Linked DNA regions of Arabidopsis thaliana. The protein of the gene in region 3 purifies or fractionates together with the protein of the main gene of each other region. This does not show direct contact. Each region holds a gene or a part of one and is shown on either strand. Other genes may lie near its edges.

The links.
Region 1: the proteins of AT1G09620 (region 3) and AT5G38750 fractionate together in Arabidopsis thaliana (co-fractionation; one large-scale study listed by BioGRID). This does not show direct contact.
Region 2: the proteins of AT1G09620 (region 3) and AT1G18130 fractionate together in Arabidopsis thaliana (co-fractionation; one large-scale study listed by BioGRID). This does not show direct contact.

Annotation. Positions count from the first base shown.
Region 1 is NC_003076.8:15,520,607-15,523,704, reverse strand, and holds AT5G38750 (asparaginyl-tRNA synthetase family), read right to left. Parts: upstream 1,056-3,098; coding exon 958-1,055; intron 917-957; coding exon 847-916; intron 765-846; coding exon 525-764; downstream 1-524.
Region 2 is NC_003070.9:6,233,826-6,237,587, reverse strand, and holds the start of AT1G18130 (Class II aaRS and biotin synthetases superfamily protein), read right to left. Parts: upstream 1,694-3,762; coding exon 1,646-1,693; intron 1-1,645.
Region 3 is NC_003070.9:3,114,605-3,118,366, forward strand, and holds the start of AT1G09620 (ATP binding/leucine-tRNA ligases/aminoacyl-tRNA ligase), read right to left. Parts: upstream 2,096-3,762; 5' UTR 1,964-2,095; intron 1,865-1,963; 5' UTR 1,852-1,864; coding exon 1-1,851. Other genes in the region: AT1G09625 (uncharacterized protein), read right to left, coding at 2,739-2,963; RAB11c (RAB GTPase 11C), read right to left, coding at 3,746-3,762. UniProt on the Arabidopsis thaliana protein: Catalyzes the specific attachment of an amino acid to its cognate tRNA in a two step reaction: the amino acid (AA) is first activated by ATP to form AA-AMP and then transferred to the acceptor end of the tRNA.

The DNA.
Region 1 (3,098 bases), on a different chromosome or scaffold from region 3:
TTTTATAACATGATGTCATTTGCAATATAATGCATAATCATTTAATTTAAAAATCACTAGTTTTAGAAAATAAATCGTCTCAGGGTGTATCGCGGTTAAAATCTAATTTATCATTATTATTACAAGTGTTGCATCTTTTTGGGATCTTGATGTTTGAATCCAGTTAAAATTAATGGAGCTCTTGGCACTTTCTAGTTAATTCAGGAGATTATTCACAATAGTCCTTTTCCATAGTTGATCGGATTCTAGTCAAAAAAGTTTCTTTTTTTGGGTTCAAAAGGAAAAAGTTATAAGAAATGAGTTTATTAATTGTTTAGAATGAGTGGAAAAAAAAAAGTTTAGAATTAGAAGAAAAGAGAATGAATTACATATCAAGAAGAAGAAAAAAGGAGAGTGGAATTACATTTACATGACATGTTGTCATATTGATCACTGTAATATATCGAACCTTAGGGTTCTAATGCTAACACGTTAAAATAAACAAGACAATAGAGTTAGGCAGTGAATAACTTGAAATAATAGTATTATGCAGTCCGGCCCCTATTCTTCGCCGCAAGACACATCTTATGTCGGATTCTTGTAACTGCTGCAATCATGGAGGTTCTTGCACGAAAATAAGTATGGTCTCTCAAATACTCTAGAGTCAGCTTCGATTTAGGAATTGAGTACGGAGTTTCACTGCGGTGATCCACTGTTCCCACATCAATGAACTTCTCAACGTTAAGCTCGATCATCTCCTTCGTAGCTTTACCTTGCAGAGGAATCTTCAAACAACCATCTATGGACTATGGTAAGACTAGTTCTTGTAGTAACCAACTTGCAGCGATATGACACAGAAGCATCCACCTTGACCTGAAGATTCGCTGCGCAGGATCCATAGTTCACTTCAAGAAAAGTGAAACTTTTTCCTAGCTCCCTTCCCTTTTTTAACCCACCCGCTGGTTTGGAATTTCTCACCGGCTAATCCTGCTGCCGTCCGGTCGACACAAAATCGATCGAATACGGGTCCGACTCAGAGAACAGAGATTCTGCACCGTTGATGACGAGGCACCCATATCTCTCATCAATATTAATATTATTATTTTTTATGTCGATTGTTTTAGTTAATATAAACAATTAAAACAAAAATTTATTTTCATTTCAGAAACTATTGAATATTTTCTATTTTTTACTATCTTTTATTAATACTTTTTAAACATATCAAATTATTTTTTTTTTGTTCAATTGTATTAACTATTGACTAATTAGAGTTATTTTGTAGAAACAAAAATAATTTAATATTTGGTAAGAGTTTTTAAAATTTTCTTTTATTGTATCAACTAAAACAATAATAATTTATTACTTTCAATTCAAATTAATATTAATATATATAATTTAACATGTATAATGTGTCGACTAATATATCTTAAGAGAATGAAGCCACAAAGGTCCACTTATAGATAGATACGATCTTATTCTACCATCCCGAGTGACCTTTTTTGAAATATCTCTAGCTAAAGTGTTATATTCATCTATAATAAATTATTATACAGTTAATGAAAATTTGGAAATGTTATAAAGTTTTATAAGTGGCATATACGTTATTAGGCCTAGGCGTTTGGGTACTAGTTCAGGTTAGATTATGGTTTTAGAGTTTAGGTTTGGAGGCTCCATACATGTATTTTATATATGAGGAATTGGTTAGATTTGAAAAAAAACTTTGTTAATTTTTGGATTTTTCGGTTATTTTAGGTATTTTAGTATTTTTGATTTATTTATTTTGATATTTTTAGATTTATAATAATAACTTTTGAAATAATATTTATATTTCAGTTTCGGTTTGATTATTCGGATATTTATTAGTGTTTCGATTTTTCATATTGTTGTCAAAATTATATGAGTACATTTGTATAAATTCAAAAAATTTATACACAATGAAAGAAGTATATAACTAAATAGAAGCAAATAAATAAATAAACAATGATGTGAGTAAACAAAAAAATGAAAGAAACAATAAAACAAGTAAAGTAAGCATGTAAGAAAACAACTACAGAAGTAAAGATACAAAGAATCAAAGAGGAAACATGTGAAAGAGCTAAGCCATGAATGAATCAGTTGAATAAGCGACTGCCAAATAATCAAAGAAATCAAGAAATTGACGATAAGTAAACAAGTGAATTGCATGTACGGTCTGAGCAAACAATGAAGGGAATAAGAAGGAAGTAAACACACAGATTAAGAAATGAAATGAAGCAATATGGAGTGAGTAACGATCAAATAATCAAAGAAACAAACAAGAAGTAAACAAGTTATAAATGTAAGTAAACAGAGAGAAAAAAAAAACAAGCAAGCTAGTTAAGAAATCAAATAAGTAAATAAGCAATCAATAAATCAAGAAAGCAAATATGCATAGATTCATGCATGAATGTAAGCATGCATGTATATATGAATGTATGCATGTATGGATGTATGAATGTATGAATGTATGCATGTATGAATGTATGCATGCATGTATGGATGTATGAATGTATGAATGTATGAATGTATGAATGTATGCATGAATGTATGGATGTATGAATGTATGCACATATGAATGTATGCATGCACACATGACTATATCACGCTATCAAAGAGGTCGATGTAGATTTTCAGGTTGTTCCTAATGGCAGTTGGACATTGCCGCTAGCCGTTATGCTCCAAGCATGCTTACCTATTCAGCCGCGAGACACTAGTCTTCCCAATCTAATCAATTTCTTTGGAGGAAATCATTTGATGCTCCAACAAGTATGTTCTCTACGTCTCTTACGTGCCAAATCTACAACATGTGGCAAAATAAATTGTCTGTTATAGGACAGTAAGGTTCTCACAAAAACTTCTGAAACATGCTAATCTCTGTTTTAGGACAGTTACCTTCCAGGAGACCATCTTCGTCAATGGGGTTTGGTGGTTCTTACCGCTTGTCTCCTTTGTGACATTGATTTAGAATGCCGAACACACCCATTTTTAAGCTATAAGAGAAAAGTCAAAATATTAAATCTCTACAGACGAAGATACGATACCTGTATAGATTCTTTGAATTATCTTTTCCAGAAATCGGTTTCTTACTCTGGTTCTTGCAT
Region 2 (3,762 bases), 3.1 Mb from region 3:
ATTTTTGGCGCCAAAATTATTTTTCCCGCCGATTTTTTGGCGCCAAAAATTTTTTTTTCCGCCAAAAAAATATTTCCGCCAAACTTTTTTCCCGCTAAAAAAAAAATTCCCACCAAATTTTTTTTCGTAACAAATATTTTCTCAGCCGAAAAAATGCTTTTAAAAATCCTTGTAAATTTTTTTTGGCTAGAAATAAATTTACAAGGGATTTTAAAAGGGTTTTAAAAGATTTACAAGATATTTTAAAAGGGTTTTAAAAGATTTACAAGGGATTTAAAAAAGGTTTTAAAAGATTTACAATGGATTTTAAAGGATCTTCTTGTAAATTCTTTGAAAATCTTTTAAAAACCCTTGTACATCTTTTAAAACTCATTTAAACCCTTTAAAAATATCTTGTAAATCTTTTAAAATTCCTTATAAATCTTTTAAAACACTTTTAAACCCTTTAAAAAACCTTTGTAAATTTTTTAAAATCCCTTATAAATCTTTTAAAACACTTTAAACCCTTTAAAAATTTTAAAAAAACCTTTGTTAATCTTTTAAAGCCCTTTAAAATTCCTTTTAAATATTTTAAAACCCTTTTAAAATCCCTTGTAAATCTGTTAAAAACCTTTTAAAATCCCTTGTAAATCTGTTAAAAACCTTTTAAAATCCCTTGTAAATCTTTTAAAATCTCTTGTAAATCTTTTAAAACTCCTTTTAAAATCCCTTGTAAATCTTTTAAAACCCTTTTAAAATCCCTTGTAAATCTATTTCCCGCCAAAAAAAAAAATGCGGGAAAGAAATTTTTGAAAAAAAAATTTGGCGGGAATTTTTTTTTCGAAAAAGTTTTGCGGGAAAATTTTGGCGGGAAATTTATTTTAGAATATTTTAGACGAAAAAATATTAATATTTTATTTTGTTAACCTAAAATAATTTTTAAATAGGGGTAAAATGGTCATTAAAAATTTAAAGAGGGTATAAATGAAAATGGATAAAACAAAAGGGTAGAGTTGAAAAGGGGCATTATGAAAAGGGCATTAGAAAGAATTTTTCAACTTTCTAATGTAAAGTGGTTGAACTTTGTTTACATAACAAAAAAAATTGTTTTGATTAATCAAAGAAATGAATTGACTTTATTATCCATTAAGACAACAATGTTTGAAAAACTCGATTACGTGAATTTGATGAATAGTTTTGTAGGCAAAAATCTAAATAGAGCTATATTTAAAAATATAATTTTGTTTTTTTCCCTCTTTTTTACTTACAAAACGCTTATAAAATGTTATAAAAAATGTTCTATAAAGTTTTAGTATAACTTTTATATATTATTATTATTTGTGATTATGCAAACAAATAAAAGACACAATTTGTTTATTTTCATAAGGCATTTTTGCATGACAGACCGGCTCTGCCGTTGAGACGGTAATTTACTATTGCAAGAAACTCGCAAACGCCAAATAAGGGATGTATGTGACTAAGGAACTATTCTTCGACATAAACCGCGAGGTACGCTTACGTAATCCACACAAGCTCGTCAAACTGGTGAAGGTTAGCCCCAATCCTCGTATTTAACATTGCGCTTTGTCAAAAAAAATGCTATTGAAAAGGGCCCAAAAAATTCTGAATGTTTTTTCAAAGATACATCCTATAAATTGAGGTTCACGGCAGAGGATAGGTTTGTTTCATCCTCATCGGGATGATTCTTCGACATTGGTGGAGCAGCAGAGAACGAAGACGATGAGAAATTTGTAAAAAGTTGTGAGACGGACGTCGATAGGTTTTAGTTTCGGACTTTGGAGTTTCAGGGAGGGAGACCTTGTTTTTAATTTTGAAGCGTACTATGGGCCATGGGGGTGTCTTTTTTCCCAACAAATAGGAATTTTTGATATTTTAATATATTAACTTTAAATTATTATGAAACTAACAAGTTATTACTATTTCATAACAACCATTTATAGTTTATTATAATTAAAGCAATAAACGATTAGTATAGAAAATGTAGATTTTTTGCCCCAAAAAGAACATAAAGATATAATTATATCTATACATATTGGGAAATATATCTAAGGTATTTTTTCAACATTTTATAAAATAGTACTCATTTAATTCATTATTAAAATATTTCAACTAAAAAATAATTATTAAAATACCAAATTTTCTAATTAAACCCCTAAAATAAAATGGAACAGAATTGTTGTAAAGAAAGAAAAAAGATTAGACACTATAGAAAAAATAATAATAAAATAAAGGAAGAAAAGACAAGAATGGAAACAATAAAGAAGATTGTCGAACACTTCAACTTATCAAATATGAGCTTAATTAGGTTAACAATCTTGTATATTGCAAACGATATATCTCTACAGAAAAGATGAGCATTGTGCCTTCGAACGATCTTGTATATTTCAAACGATCCAGAAGAAACCTTTAAAATAGCTCTATTCTAACATATTTCGAACTTGCTTTCTTTTGTCAACAAGCATGCATCTTATATTATTGTAAACGACAAATCTTATTATATGAAGTATGGTTTTCAAAGTTACTAACTCATAAGATTATGCCACATGTCAAGTCTATCGATCAGATGTTGACATGTGTAAGAAAATAATTAACTTTTTTCTTCTTAAAGAAATAGAAATACTAAAAAAGAAATCAATTAACTTTTTTCTTCTTAAAGAAATAGAAAACTAAAAAATAAATCATTATTAACATATACTAATTCATATTTCTATATCTAAAAAATCTTACATTTTATTTTTCTTAACCAAAAGGAAAATTAACAAAAAAAAAAATTATATATGTTATTGGTCAAATTTTTAATATATATGGTATTAACAAATGTTTTATTATTATGAATTATGTTTTGTTAATTGTTAATAATTTTTAATATCTTATTATATAAAGTATGGTTTTCAAAGTTACTAACTCATACGATTTTGCCACGTGTCAAATCTATCAATCAGATGTTGACATGTGTAAGAAAATAATTAACTTTTTTCTTCTTAAAGAAATAGAAATACTTAAAAAGAAATCAATTAACTTTTTTCTTCTTAAAGAAATAGAAAACTAAAAAATAAATCATTATTAACATATACTAATTCATATGTCTATATCTAAAAAATATTACATTTTATTTTTCTTAACCAAAAGGAAAATTAACAAAAAAAAAAAATTATATATGTTATTGGTCAAATTTTTAATATATATGGTATTAGCAAATGTTTTATTATTATGAATTATGTTTTGTTAATTGTTAATAATTTTAATATTAACTAAGATATAGATTTGATCTCATATATATATATATATATATATTATTTTGACATGAAATCATTATCAAGTAAGATGAAGTGTGTAGAATTAAAATCGAGTTTTTTATGAAATAGATAGTTAAATTGTATTACAAAATTGAATGTATAAGATAAAAATTTATTTTTTCTTCTAAATACTAAATTATAATATAAAAAAGTGTGTAGGTTACTATTTAGACTTCAAATATCATCAATAAGACTGAATGGGTATAACAAAATAAAATGCATAAGACTACTATTTTACTATTCAAAATTATAAGAACAATGTATCGACTATTATTTTACTATTCAAAATTTAAATATTATCGATAAAAATTACATTTACATCTTACACCCGCCTATTTAGGCGGGTCTTATCTAGTTATTTATAAATAAAAGACAAGAGAACAAGAAGAGAAAACATTATAATTAGTATAGTCGTACGTCTTTACCCATCAGTTGTGATGGTGGAGCCGATTGGTTGCCAATACTC
Region 3 (3,762 bases):
GTCTCCATCGTGAAAGATATGGGCAACTGTGTAATAGGCCATATAAAGAGATGAATCAGATAAGGATTCCACTAGGAACTGTTCATCCCAGGGAATACGAGTTCCTAAACCAAAAGATCGTGAGCAAGCCCACTGATTGAGCCAGCTCAAAGTGTGCTCAAAGCCATGCCTTGTTTCATCAGAGTAGAGATTCATCTTTGATAGGCATTCCTCAGCAATTTTCCGCCATTCTGATTCGCCGTATGTTATGTACCACTGATCTGTAAGAGCCACAACACATTCATCACCCGATCTTGACATCACCGGCTTCTCGGGTTCACTGTATATGATTGCCTCGCCAGTCTCTATGAGCTTTGTCTTGATAATGGGCTTAATTTCTTGAACTTTCCTACCAAAAAACTCTCCAATAAGCATGGTTCCTTCGGTAAATCCTTTCAGGTAAGTCAACCTCTTAGCCTCTGCAAGCTTTTCCTTATCGTTTTGGCTTTTAATTTTCAGATCCAAGCAGACCTTTTCAGCAGCTTTATCCCCAAATTCCGGAATGTTGATGATCGGTATGATTTCAGTGGGCAACCATTCCGTTTTCACACCATACTTATCTTGAAGAGCAGGCTTTTTGATTAAATCTTGTAAAGCCATGTAATCATCAGGAGCATCACTAGGCACACTGGTGACAATGCCAGTACCTTTGTTGGTCAGAATGGTCAACATGGGCAGAGCATAGATGATCTCGTTGACTGACAGAGGAGACCTCAAAGGGAGTCCAATCAGATCATACCCGGTCAACTCAACCAAGCAGGAAGGCTCCTGAGGGTTCTTCGAAAAGTTCTGGTACGCAAGGTTGAGCGCAGCTCTCTCAGTAAGGATGAAGACCTCAGTTTCGCTGATTTCATAAGCTCCATATTTCCCATCAGGTAGTACCCATGCGTTTGTTTGTCCATACATGGTCTCAGGCCTCAAAGTAGCTGCAGCCAAAAACACTCTCTTGCCTTCCAAAGGACCCAGTTTCAGAGGGAATGGCTTGACTACTTCCATCTTTATGAGTGTATACTCTTGAGGCTGAACACCTTCCCCAGTAGCACGGTCGTGATCAGCACAAGGCTGGCCATCTAAAGGTGAGAATATAGTGTACCTGCGGTCTTTAACAATCTTTCCCATAGATTTCAACTTCCTCATCTGCCACCTCACAAAGGCATCGAAAAAGGGATTAACATCAGTGGTCACAAACGAGCGTCTCCAATCACAACCCAATCCATATGCCCTTAGATCTTCAACAGCCAAAGGGGGAAAGTAATACAACCATTCAGAAGGCTCTCGGAAATTTGCAATCTCACTGTCAGTAAGACCAAAACTGCGCATAATCTCCCACTGATAAACCTGTCCACCAGCTTTGGCAGCAACCTTAGACTTCTTTCCCTTGAACTGACCCGGAATCGGTAAAGCTATAGTATCACTGCTCTCCTCCTGAACTTCAGGAACTTTGGTGGTGTCTTCAGCAGTAAACACAGGAGGGTTACCAAACTGTTCAATCTCACGACGAAGCTTATCCGCAGAAGCCTTAATTGGCATACCAGTACAATGGAAACCAAATGGAAGAAGCACATTAGCTCCTCTTAGCCTATGGTAAGCAGAAGCAAAATCAACCTTGGACAATGAAAAGGCATGCCCAATGTGTAGATAACCATTCATATACGGGAAAGGGAAGGTTGAGAAAAACTTTTCTCCTGGTTTTGGAAGATTCTCACAAGATTCGGCTCTGAATACATCCTCGTCTTCCCACCACTTTCGAACAGTGGCCTCAATCTCAAGAAGACGATCTCTCCTAGCGTAGCTTTTCGATTCCGATGCCATTAAGTGACAGTGCCTACCCCAAAAAAACGCAAACCTCTAATTTAGATATCGGCTTCTTAAGTGCAACACAAAAATCGGTAGATTGAGTCTACCAGCTTGGGGAGAGAATTACCTTAGGGATGATGAACTTTGAGGAATCACGAATCGAGCCCACCGCGAAATCGATCCGAGATTTGACAGAGACAGAGCCAGTGGGAGAGATAAGTAATGGTTTCTAGGGTTTTTCTTTAAGACTACCTTCTTCAGTCTTTGGATTCGACGGCTGATTATTAAACTGAACTAGTCTCGCCAAAACCGGATCCAAGTCAAACCCATTTAGAATTTGGGCCACATCCACTAAAAGGCCCAGATATTTGGGGACTTCAAAGTTTTTTTTTTTTTTTTTTTTTTAACTAGTAGACGTTCAATTTCTTTTTCTTTTTTTGTTTTTTTTTTTTTGTTAAATAATATTCATGTTTTCTTTCTCCTCCCCTTTTCAAATGTTACTGGTTTTTTATTGTGCGATGCTTATGTCGTATATTATATATGGTGGATTGTTTAATGGTATAATTTCATTGTATTTGCAGAAATTTAGATTTGCATGAAAAAAAATGTTGAGAAATTTGAGTTACACCTCAAACTTGAAAGATTAGTAATGGAAGCAAATCTAAGAGACTAATAGTTAAAAGAATTCTCGACTTTGGTTCTAGAGAATGTGATTGATTAATCCTTTCAATCTTTCATCAACACCACACAACATGTTTAGTTAGTTATGATAAGATAAAGAAACCATACATAGATAACATCTTTCAAACTCTTTAGATTCTCAAGAGTCTAACCTTTGTTAAAAATAAGAAAACTATATGATAAAAACAAGGGATGCAAAACAAATATATTGAAAATTTTCTTCAAACGAGATTATTATTTGGCTTAGCTTGTGCCTTCTCGTTCGTCTTGCTCTTACCATCTTCTTTCACTGGATCCTTCTTCTCCAAAGTTACAGAAGACGACGCTTTACCATCTTCTTCTATCTCAAGAGGTTTCGAGCACCACCTATCGAGCAAATTGCATAAAACCGTCACCATTATTATTCCTGCGACGATAATACACCATCCCCAGATTGGGATCTCCATCTTTTTTATGTATTTGTTTTCAGTGACAAAGAAACAAAGTAAATTGTTTGTTGATGATTACAAGTTGCTTAAAAGTTGTTGATATTATAGGAGGCGGGAACTACTCGAAAGACTTGGAAATTTACCATTTTGACAAAAAACTTGCTAGAAAATAACTAAAATAAAAGTAAATCATTCTTCTAATTTTTTTCAATTTATCAACTTTAAAAGTATATTTCCTTTTCTTCATAAATCTCATAAACTAGCAAAAAGATAATGTCATAAACTAATACTATAAAATATATATTTTGTTTTTTTTGTTCCGTCAAATATATATTTTTGGTTTTGCCTGTATTCTTGTTGACTTCCGTTTTTTTTTTCCCCCTTTTTTTTAATTAACTTCCTTTCTTTGCTTTTCCATTTCTTCTTGATTGAAAAATGTATATTGTGTGATTTTGTCTACTTTATTTAAATTATCTTTGAAATCGAAGAATTTCTGCTCTATTAAAAATTCAAACTATAGTCTACGTTGGTATTTGTTTATTTCATTTTATACTCTGCTTATTTTTCTGATACTACATTACAACTACCACTCAAAACTACAATTAATTCCCTAAAAATATTTTTCGTTTCCAAAATTTGTTTTGTGTGAACGATTCCGAACTCCACAATTGATATAAAAAATTATCTTTGAGTTATATTATCAACAACAGAAAAAAGAAAGAAAACAAATACAACGCAAGCCTTGAAATAAAGTCTCATAGATATTTGGCTTTTTTTAAGTGCAACACAAACAAAGCCTTTCAAGACGATGAGCAAC